2 linked regions of the Arabidopsis thaliana genome follow. The protein of the gene in region 2 interacts with the protein of the main gene of each other region in a pairwise test. Each region holds a gene or a part of one and is shown on either strand. Other genes may lie near its edges.

Region 1 (5,287 bases), on a different chromosome or scaffold from region 2:
ACGAAATGCAATCTAGAAGCCGATCTTGTACTGTTGGCAGCAAAGAAGGAATGCTGAGATACAAAGAATTGTCAGCATTAAACGTATACACATCAATGTATGTAATAACAAACTTCTTTCGTTCAACTTTACCTGATGGTTATCTGGTCAAGAGCGTCAACAAGTGTGGAAGAGAGACTAGATGAAAACATAACATCTAAAAGATCTCGAACATGAGTTTCCACTGTGGATCCCATTGCCTTTGCGATGTTACCAACACAAGCCACAGCTTCAAGCAAAGGTCTGCCTTTACGTGGAGCAATCTACAGGGACAACATAGTCGAACAAAGCCACTTGTCTAGTTCAGTTTTCAAAACTAAAACCCAATATAATACTTTGACACAAAAGTAGTAAAACGTAATTACAAAATAAATAAATAAATAAATAAAATTTGACCCACCGCATCCCGCAGATGAGACATAATTGTCGGCAAATAATGGATAAGCTCACCATCCAAAGCACCAGCCATTTCCCCAAGGGCGATGAACCCACTGGCTCTTTCAGCCGGTATTCTTAACACAGTAAGAATATGATTCATGCATATCTGCAAGAAAGTAATTCGTGTCACGTTTCCAGAAATTTTTTGGTTTTAAGAATCTCTCAGTCACTTACCGTTAAATAGTTTGTCACAAACCGGTCACGGAGAAAGTGAGCAATGCGAGGCAGTAACGAGGTGATGCTAAGGCGAACAAGGCGATCACGATGTTCAAGGTATCTGAGGACAATTTCGGCAACTTCTCTATACCTAGACATCATGAACTCACCTGTATTCCTGCAAACGAACTCTAGCATTAAGCTGTAAACTCTAACACCCAATATGCCATGAAATCAATCTGCTTATAACAGAAAACAACGTAATTTTCGTCGTCAAGAGTCTTTTGTTCAGGTATACACTGAGAGTGGAGGAATATACATGAATTGCCTACTTTTTTAATGATGTAAACTACAATACGAAGACAAACTAACAAAACAACCCGAGCATCATGGGGACAAACAAGTTGTTCTACGGAAATATTCCAGAATCAAACTTGAGTGTCTGACTAAAAGAAAGGGATGCTTTCAAAATAGATAACCACTTCTGCATTTACCTCAACAGCTCCCCCACGGCAAGTAAAGAACCATGAATACTGTGAACCGGAGCATTTCTGCCCAACCCATCCTGTGTAGCTTCAAACATTCGATAGTACCTGTAAAAGCCAAATTGAGAGAAGATCAGTTAATAAAGATGGAAACCCCTATTGATAATTTGAAACATTGCATTGGCAATGATATATATAAATGCAGTAGAAAGTCTGCAAAACGTATCACCATGGGAAGAATATATATTCGAATATCATCCATTTTGGGGGGGGGGGGGGGACCACAGCATAAAAAGCTAATATAAGTTGCATTTACACAATAAAATATACAAAGTAGTACTTAAATGAGGGTGATTGCAAATGAAAGTATTGCAACAACACAAAGAAAAGCCTTGCATCAAAAATATCATACCAAATACATAACCTAAGGAAAACATTTCAGACATTATCATTTTCAAGGATAAGAGAATACTTACCACTGCACTCGCCATCGAGTCTCCCTTTTCTCAATAACACGAAGGCATGCACGCAAAGCTTCAACAGCTCGTTCTCGCACTTGCAACTGGGGGTCCCTAAGTGCAACCCAGATAGCATCCACAAATTCAGGGACATGAACGTTAAAGACAGTAGAAGCATTTTCGGCCATCTCCTGCAATGTTGCAAGAAAACATCCATATCCGTATTAACTTAGGATTGGAAAGTTATCATCACTATCATTTTTCAAACATCTATAATCCAATTTATTAGTTCAGAAGTTTCTTTCTGAGTAACTAAAAGAAAAAATGATCTGCTTATCTAAAGGATCGGGCAGCTGAAATCAGGATACCTTTAATATTAAAACGGCGGCGAAACGACGATATTCCACCCTGTCTACGCGAAGCCAATCAAAAGCTGTTTTCATCTGTGAAAACGAGATCAAGAATTGAGCAACTATGAGCCGAGACAGTGATAGGAAGGGGAGGGAAACAAACAATCTTACCTGAAACTCCACTTCATCAGAAGTCATTGCTCCACCTGCCCGAGCAAGGTGCCCCAAAACTCTACTAGCAAGCACCAAGATTTCAGGATCACGCTTCAACTCGAACACAGTCCTCATGTAACCCGCAAATCTAGAAACCTTAGTAGCATTCTCACCAAATCCAATCTCCGTCAACTCATCAATGGCTCTGAGTGCACCCATGTTTTCCGCCACATCAGTGCTCTCAATTAAATTAGCAATCCTGTCATATAATTGCTCCATGAACCTAGAGGAAGCTTCACCACTAAGATCACGAACTGCTTCCTCTACGTGTTTCCTAAACGCTAAAGGAGCTCCCTCCTAATACAACAACCAAAAATCATAAACAAAGTCGCATACTTGATGGAAACCAACAACAATAGATCAAAACCCACAAATTGCCAGACCTATAAGAACTAAAACTTCGAATTTTCCATTAACCAGAACAGAGAGATTCCGTCAGATAAGCAATAAAAGCAAAAGGGTTATATGGGTTTCTACTAAAGCATAAAAAGGGAGAATACTTTACAATGTTCTTCATTACCTTAGGATTACCACGGCTGCAAAGGTCAGCGATGACACGATTCAAAGTGTCAAAGCTTCCGCCACCAGAAGCGGTGGCTGAGGGACCACAAAAGCGGTGCGATTGCGAAGGGGAAGCCATGGATGCAGGCCGTCCAGCCACAAAAGATTGCGACGAGGTAGACATCGCTGCAGGGCCAGTCCAGCCACAAAAATCTTCCAAAAACCCTAAATCTGACCCCTTTTTGGTTCAACAACACTTGGGCAGAGAGAGAGTATGTACAGAGGAAGATAGAAGAATCTTCAACACATGATGCGTCGAGAACCGAAGATCGCAGAAGAAATCAAGATTTTTTCTCTTATTTTTTTACAAATTCAATTCGCTGAGTGTCTTTTTAGCTTTCTTAGGTTTTGCTTTGTTCTTTCAGAGACCAATTATCTTTGGTAAATAAATTGGAAAACCCGAAAGGTTTTTACTAGGAAAATATGACTTTTTCCTTGGAAAATTGTAAAACTTATGTTTGTCTATCAAAAACTTATAAATACAATATTTTCATTTTTTTTTGTCACTGATTAATTACTTAAAACCCTGAAAGGGTCTTTGTTTGGGCTATGTAATGTTTAGAATGTTTAATATACACTTGTCAAAGAAAAAAAATTACTTGTGAAAAAAAAAATAGTCAAAAACTCATATTTGTTCACTGGACAATAGAATAACTTTTTTTGTCAAGGAATAACTTTGTAGTTTCTTGAATAAGTTTTCTTTTATTGTCATTTCACTTTATTATTATTATTTCCAATTATGCTTTTAAGCAGATAAGGAGTTTTTAAAATGATCATTAAATTGTAGGAAAATAATAAACTATAGTTTTGTTGTAATTAGTAGTCATTACGAACAAAAATAATGGGGAAAATGAAAAAATTCAATTGAATGCATATGGTTAAGTTTGTCAACAAATTAAATAAATAAGAGGAATAATATCTATACAAAAAAATATCGAATATTAGTCAAATTTTGAATAAAAAATGTCAAATAATAGTAGAATTGTAAAATAGTTGTATGGTAATCGATATATCATATATTGAAAAATTGATGAAATGTGAATCATATCATTCAGTTAATTTGAATTGTTTTTCTTTTTTTTGGTATGGAGTGGATTTGAATTGTTAGATGTGATGAAACTTTGTTTTTCTATTCATAAAAATTCTAAATCATAGAAATCATTATTTATTCTCCAATGGTAAATTTTTGTTTTGCTTGTATGTTAAGTAGTATTCATATTCATATGTATAGGAAAAACTAAAGAAATGGCTCCTCCAAAATATAGTTCGTGTTTCTCCGTTGTTACAACGAAAATAATCACAATGATTGTGTATGACAAAATAAGCATTACATTCGAAAATTAAACGAAGCACATCCAACATAAAATTTCAAAAGAGTTGTGGCTTGTGGGAGGCTATAGCATCGCTTGGTTTCATCGTACACATCAAGGATGGTGAATAGACAGGGTCCAAGTGTTAACGTTGCGCAATCCCATAACGTGACAAGAATGTCGGTGAAAATATTGGTGTTCTTTTCTCTCCAAATTAATAAACTACAACTAAGAGTACTATTTAAAAAAGAGTTAAAATGACACAAAATAACTCAATTTTTTATATCATTAACGCATTATACGTATAGAATTTAAATAATAACATATACATTTCCATATAGGATAAATAACCTCATCAAAAAAAAAGAAGAATTTTATTATTAGTTTAGACTTTTTTGTCAATATTAATTTATTAGCTTCTTAAGTTTTATATTATTAGCAAAGGATAATGATGCCAACTATATACATGCGTGCTCCAACTTTTGGGACCAATTCATCTAACCTAAGTGATAAACAGATAGATAAATTATCCACTTCTAACTATTTTCCATCAGCTTATTTCAAAATTTAAAAGCTAAATCATTTCAAATCAAAAAGGTCTTTGGCTTTTTTTTATCCACTGTTCCATTATTTCTCTCTTCCATTAAAAAAACTGCATTTTACAAGATCTTTCAGTTTTTAGAAGTAATCAAGTATCAGTGCCAAAAAAAGCTACATTAAAATCTTACAAATTACAGTATACGACGTATTCCTATTTTCAATCGTTATCTAAGTAGAAATATATTTAATAAAACGTGTGAAATGTCAATAAAACAACAACAAAATGTACATACATTAAAAAGAATTCAAGACCAGCAAAAATATATATACACGTTACTATTTAATCTCTTGATATGTTTCCTGTATAAAAGAAAAAAATCTACCATATAAACCTCAATAACGATTCCAGAAATTATATCAAAATTGTAAAAGACAAAAACATTTAACTAAAAAAATCATATAAAGGAGTAAAGAAATAAATCTATTTAGAACACTAGAAATTTCAAGGTTAAGAATCAATACATACTTAAACTAAAAAAAAACTTTTATTTACCAAAAAATAAAAAAATAAAATAAAAGAAAGAATAATATTATTTCAATTTACACATCTGGAAATTGACAGGCGATAGTTTGGTTTTTTGGAGTTTTGACCCCACAAAATCTTTCACCTAATTTCCATTTGTTTTTCTCAACAAAAAAATCACAGCTATATTCCAGCCTGTTTAATTCTCATCAAT
Region 2 (6,552 bases):
GTCCTGTTCTTGCAATGATGAATCAATATAAATTCTGATATACGGTACAATTGTGAAAGCTAAATTTGCAGAGGTGGTTGTTGCCAAAAGATATGTGAATACTTTATTGGAAATTATAATAGGGTTGTTGCGTGGCTCATTTGAAAATGAAGAAAGCTTACTCTCTATTATTTGTTACTTTCCCTGATGTTTATATGAACCTTTCACAAACAGTCATTTCAGCATGAAGTTCTATCACTTGCCATTTTGCACACGTTTTTAAAATCGAGCTTTGACATACTTGGTTTCTTCTGTTATAGGTTATTCGAGAATCATTCAAAGGTGAGCGCCATTTGTTATATTTTACTTCTCTGGTGAAAGTAATTGAATACATACCATTTTAAATAGTTAGCAGTCACTTTATCGTGACAATGGATCAAAATGGTTCTGTTTATAATAAATATATATGCTTATCGCTGCCTACTTTCTGACCTTGTTGAAACTCTTGTTGAAATGTGTGATACAGGTTTCGCAAACTTTGTTGACAATAACCGTAAACTCTTTTCGAAAATCAACGCAATCTGCCTCAGTTTGGTAAGATATGAAATGTTAGTCTCCCGTAATTTCTACACCCCTTGAATAACTTTCTGAAGTCATATCCTTGGAGTTTTGCTTTGTTGCAGGAATCTTAAACTTGGCATTTTAGATGCCTGTACTTAAAACTTTCTCTTTTCTTGTATGATAGCTTGGGATTTCAACATTCCGTGGCATTGATGTGCCAATCCAAAGCTTTTACTAAATTGCAAAAACCATATTTGCAGTCACGGTTATGACTTTGGAGATAGAAGGACTTAATACTTTTTTCCTTTTTATAGTTTAACCTCTGCTTCCCTGGCTACTTCAACTGGTCTGACTTTGTTATTGCATTTACCTGGTTATTTTGGGAACTTAATAGTGTTTATTCCATGATTAATATTCTAGGTGCCATGGATCCAAGTGAGCAGGTCAAGATCACTGCTACTATCCGTTCAACCTAAGGTTTTCCTTGCAGCAGTTGGCATTGGAATGTACGCATTCTTCTTTTAACATATAGAAAAGATACCAAGTGAAGAAGCTCATGGAAATATTTGGCTTGTGTGTTAGAAATGCGGATTACGTTTGACAGAAGATTCTTACGTCTTCTTACAGATTGCTGCATCTTTCTCTACTAGCATTCAATGCTGTTTCAATCCGCATCCTCTCCGGTCTTACAGGTGGTAGCAAGAGCTCCAAGGAAAACAGCACTGCAGTTTTGCTCGTTTCAAGCCAGGTAATAATAGAGTTTGCCTTTTAGAACCGATTTTGATCTCTTAAATTTGGGAGTTCTTTTCTTGTGGTGGCATAGAAAACATTACCGGTAATGGTGGCGGTAGTAGAGCAATTAGGAGGTGCATTTGGTGAGACAGGGCTATTGGTTCTTCCTTGTGTAGCTGCACACCTGAACCAGGTTACAAATTGTATTATAATCATCATGTACTTGTGTGCATAATTTTATAAATTATTGACGTAAATCTGGAATGTTACAGATCATGATTGATTCAGTTCTTGTCAACTTATGGCTCCGGAGAGGAAAAGATACTTCGACTAAAGTAAAGACAGCTTGAGAGAGAGAGAGAGAGATAGAAAGCAATGAAACCAATGCTGTGGAGAAGGTTACATCCTAAACACACTGAATGTCAGTTATATACATAGCAGCAAGACTGGGGATTTTGATATCTTTCCAATCACCAAAGCTTAGTTGATCATTGACCATCTCTCTCTCTCTCTCTCTTTCTGTATGTATATGCTCTAGAGATTCCGGTCGGTGTTTGCTGATCCAATTTGTATGATTTATGAAACTATGTAAAAAAAAAACTTGTATCTATATTTGAAAACATTTAGTCATTTGACGTTACCAGCGTACAAAGCAATTCATATGTAATCTGTCTGATAAGCAGCTAGGAAAGAGGACTAAGAACCGGTTCTTTTCTCAATTTAATTGAACTAACCATCACTACAATTTCATTTAGTCCTGGTTCGACCAATTCGGTTTGTAAATAAAATAAAAACCGATCGAGAGCGTTTTAATTGTCCTCGGTTTTCAGTTTCGGTATGGAAATAGAATCAAATCGAATCCGGTTTAGTGAGTAAATCACGAAACCCTAATTCTATATATTTTTTCATCTCGACCAAAATGCTTGGACGGCTACACACCATTTTTGTTTAGATTCGTAATCCTCCTCAAGCATCTCCTTCGCAAATCTCCATCTCCATCTCCATCTTCTGAATTCAGGTAATTTTGTTCCTCATCATCTAGCGTAACAAATTTTCGATTCTAGTTTGGTGTAGATTGATTCGAATCGATTCTAATTCTTTGTTGATACGAGTCTGTATCTGTGACACGATTGTTTCGTTCAGATTATGTTCTTCGAATGGATTGGTTTGTTTTACTTATAATTTCGTTCCTCTGATTCACTATTCAGATTTGTTACTTTTGGTGTATCAGGTTCTTGTTGCTTACGCTTCCAGCTAAAAAGATGACGTCTCGTTTTTTCACTCAGGTTTCCTTCAACAGACCTCTTGTTTATAAACTCTCTTTACCTTTACTTGCTTCAGTTTCTGAATGATTTTTACTTGTTATGTTGATAGGTTGGAAGTGAAAGTGAAGATGAAAGTGATTATGAGGTAGAGGTTAATGAGGTTCAGAATGATGACGTCAATAACCGTTACCTTCAAAGTGGTAGTGAGGATGATGATGATACTGATACGAAACGTGTGGTTAAGCCTGCTAAGGATAAACGTTTTGAGGAGATGACCTACACTGTTGATCAGATGAAGAATGCTATGAAGATCAATGATTGGGTCAGCCTTCAAGAAAACTTTGATAAGGTTAACAAACAGCTTGAGAAGGTTATGAGGATTACTGAGGCTGTGAAGCCTCCTACCTTGTATATCAAGACGCTTGTTATGTTGGAGGATTTCTTGAATGAAGCTCTTGCCAATAAGGAAGCCAAGAAGAAGATGAGTACTAGTAACTCCAAGGCTTTGAACTCAATGAAACAGAAATTGAAGAAGAACAATAAGTTGTACGAAGACGATATCAACAAGTATCGTGAGGCTCCAGAAGTTGAGGAAGAGAAACAACCTGAAGATGATGATGATGATGACGATGATGATGATGAGGTTGAAGATGATGATGATTCTTCCATCGACGGACCTACCGTAGATCCTGGGTCCGATGTGGATGAACCTACTGATAATCTCACTTGGGAGAAGATGCTGAGCAAAAAAGATAAGCTTTTGGAGAAGCTAATGAATAAAGATCCTAAAGAGATCACTTGGGACTGGGTCAACAAGAAGTTCAAGGAAATTGTGGCTGCTCGTGGAAAAAAGGGCACTGCTCGATTTGAGCTAGTTGATCAGCTTACGCACTTGACAAAGATTGCCAAGACTCCTGCACAGAAGCTTGAAATCTTGTTTAGCGTTATTTCGGCTCAGTTTGATGTGAATCCAGGTCTCAGCGGGCACATGCCTATCAATGTCTGGAAGAAATGCGTGCTTAACATGCTCACCATACTGGACATTCTCGTCAAGTACAGTAACATTGTTGTGGATGACACAGTTGAGCCTGATGAGAACGAAACTTCAAAGCCAACAGATTATGATGGAAAAATTCGGGTCTGGGGAAATTTGGTTGCATTCTTGGAGAGGGTTGACACTGAGTTTTTCAAGAGTTTGCAATGCATTGATCCTCACACCCGTGAGTATGTTGAGAGGCTAAGGGATGAGCCCATGTTCTTGGCCCTTGCTCAGAACATCCAGGACTACTTTGAGCGGATGGGTGATTTTAAAGCTGCTGCAAAGGTAGCCTTAAGACGTGTTGAGGCAATATACTACAAGCCCCAGGAAGTTTATGATGCAATGAGGAAATTGGCTGAGTTGGTGGAAGAAGAAGAAGAAACTGAGGAGGCCAAAGAGGAAAGTGGACCTCCTACTTCATTTATTGTTGTTCCGGAGGTTGTTCCCCGTAAGCCTACCTTCCCAGAGAGCAGCCGAGCTATGATGGATATTCTTGTGTCCCTTATCTACAGAAATGGAGATGAGCGGACCAAAGCGCGTGCGATGCTATGTGATATCAATCACCATGCTTTAATGGACAACTTTGTGACTGCTAGAGACCTGTTGCTGATGAGTCATCTGCAAGACAACATCCAGCACATGGACATCTCAACACAGATTCTCTTTAACAGGACCATGGCGCAGCTTGGTCTTTGCGCCTTCCGGGCTGGAATGATCACTGAGTCCCATAGCTGCCTTTCCGAGCTGTACTCTGGTCAAAGAGTGAGAGAGTTGCTTGCCCAAGGTGTCTCGCAAAGCCGATACCATGAGAAAACCCCGGAGCAGGTAACTAGTTATCTTCTGTTTTTAGATTTAATACAGATAGGATTGAAAAAAAATTGTTTGACCAGATAGTTCTGATTGAGACATGATTACAAACACTGTTGCATTTTTGGGTTCTTCATTTTGTTTCATTTCACACAATCCATTTTCTCTATTTCAACATGGATGCTTATGGTTATGTTTTTCGTTCAGTTTATTTATATGTGATATAAAACTTTCTTGGTTTATTTCTTGATTTACCAGGAAAGGATGGAAAGGAGAAGACAAATGCCGTACCACATGCACTTAAACCTTGAGCTTCTGGAGGCAGTTCATCTCATCTGTGCCATGCTTCTTGAAGTCCCAAACATGGCTGCAAACTCGCACGATGCCAAACGCAGAGTGATTAGCAAGAATTTCCGCCGCCTGCTCGAGATCAGTGAAAGGCAAGCATTCACTGCACCGCCTGAGAATGTACGTGACCATGTCATGGCAGCCACCAGAGCCCTGACCAAAGGAGATTTCCAGAAGGCGTTTGAAGTTTTGAACTCTCTTGAGGTCTGGAGGCTGCTCAAGAACCGTGACAGCATCCTTGACATGGTGAAGGATAGGATCAAAGAAGAGGCTCTAAGGACTTACCTATTCACATACTCAAGCTCTTATGAGTCCTTGAGTCTTGATCAGCTGGCCAAAATGTTTGACGTCTCTGAGCCGCAGGTCCACAGCATTGTGAGTAAGATGATGATTAATGAGGAACTGCATGCAAGCTGGGATCAGCCAACACGATGCATCGTCTTCCATGAAGTGCAACACAGCAGATTACAATCATTGGCTTTCCAGTTAACGGAGAAACTCTCGATTTTGGCAGAAAGCAATGAGAGGGCAATGGAATCTAGAACCGGTGGAGGTGGTCTGGATCTGAGTTCAAGGAGAAGGGACAACAATCAGGACTATGCAGGAGCAGCATCAGGTGGTGGTGGATATTGGCAAGACAAGGCGAATTACGGACAAGGAAGACAAGGCAACAGATCAGGTTATGGTGGAGGAAGATCATCTGGACAAAATGGTCAGTGGTCAGGGCAGAACCGAGGAGGAGGGTATGCAGGAAGAGTTGGTTCAGGAAACAGAGGTATGCAGATGGATGGCTCAAGCCGTATGGTGAGTCTTAACCGAGGTGTTCGTACTTAAAGAGGATGAGGAGAAATCTGCAGTGTTGACCTTAGTCTCAACCTTTTGTTATGTTTTGGATTCCTTTTGGTTATCAAATGGTTCTTTCTAAGAGATGTTCATCACATTTTCTCGCATTGTGATTGTTTATTTTCTTTGTGATATTGGCAGTTGTTGGAAAAGACTTTTAAGAATGCTTTACTGGAAAGTTTAATAAGTTTTTTTTTATGCGTCATTCTTGTTGAAAAGAAGAAGGCTTAGGTTTTTTCTCGTATGCTTGCAGGTCTGTTTTTGTTGATGTCTTTTACTCTTTCATCTTTGTTTGCTTAGTAACTTCCTCTCGATGAAGTGTTTGATTAATTTCTTATCAAGAACATCTGTGATTTAATCGGCTACTTTCGTGGAGCTAGCGACAATGAATATTGTTGAGAAAATTCTTTTTTTTTTTTGGAACTCTTATCTTATTATAACTCATGTTGTATGGCAAACACAGATACAAAAAAGAAACACAAGCTTGTCGTAGTAAGTACTAAGTAGTAACTAGTACAAGTGACATGGTTGCATTTGCCAAAGCCGGATAAAGATGCTGAAGAAGTATCCGGTGGAGTGAAAGGCTCTTCTGCTGCACTTAAAAGGATAATAATGCTGTGGACTTGCGGCTCAGAGACGTCAAACATTTTGGCCAGCTGATCAAGACTGGAGGACTCATAAGAGCCGGATAAAGATTCTCTCAGCAATCTTCACATCACTCATATTGTTAGTTATTGTCACTCTCTCTCTACTCTATGTTGAATCTGCACAATTAATGTTGATGATTTAAATGTCCTTTTTCTTTGCTTACATACCAAATAGAATTTCTGAACCACAACTTATTGCCAGCTGAGATACCATCTCCTTCTCCCGTGCAAAAGTATTTGTCAACTAGAAAAATGATTGCTTAAGTACGAAGAACGATAAATAGAGAAACAATCAATGTGAGTTTAAGACAACAAATTTATATTGAAACCA

Evidence for each region.
Region 1: the proteins of EIF3C (region 2) and TOR interact in binary tests that used the Arabidopsis thaliana proteins (3 or more experiments, as listed by UniProt).

What each region holds. Positions count from the first base shown.
Region 1 is NC_003070.9:18,536,796-18,542,082, forward strand, and holds the start of TOR (target of rapamycin), read right to left. Parts: upstream 3,201-5,287; 5' UTR 2,825-3,200; coding exon 2,660-2,824; intron 2,437-2,659; coding exon 2,098-2,436; intron 2,020-2,097; coding exon 1,945-2,019; intron 1,768-1,944; coding exon 1,595-1,767; intron 1,227-1,594; coding exon 1,128-1,226; intron 812-1,127; coding exon 652-811; intron 584-651; coding exon 440-583; intron 303-439; coding exon 133-302; intron 54-132; coding exon 1-53. UniProt on the Arabidopsis thaliana protein: Essential cell growth regulator that controls development from early embryo to seed production. Controls plant growth in environmental stress conditions. Acts through the phosphorylation of downstream effectors that are recruited by the binding partner RAPTOR.
Region 2 is NC_003074.8:20,832,803-20,839,354, reverse strand, and holds EIF3C (eukaryotic translation initiation factor 3C), read left to right. Parts: upstream 1-2,079; 5' UTR 2,080-2,290; intron 2,291-2,480; exon of another isoform or gene 2,481-2,503; 5' UTR 2,504-2,534; coding exon 2,535-2,558; intron 2,559-2,646; coding exon 2,647-4,401; intron 4,402-4,641; coding exon 4,642-5,565; 3' UTR 5,566-5,945; downstream 5,946-6,552. Other genes in the region: AT3G56160 (Sodium Bile acid symporter family), read left to right, coding at 300-321, 506-573, 961-1,046, 1,168-1,288, 1,364-1,465, 1,545-1,622. UniProt on the Arabidopsis thaliana protein: Component of the eukaryotic translation initiation factor 3 (eIF-3) complex, which is involved in protein synthesis of a specialized repertoire of mRNAs and, together with other initiation factors, stimulates binding of mRNA and methionyl-tRNAi to the 40S ribosome.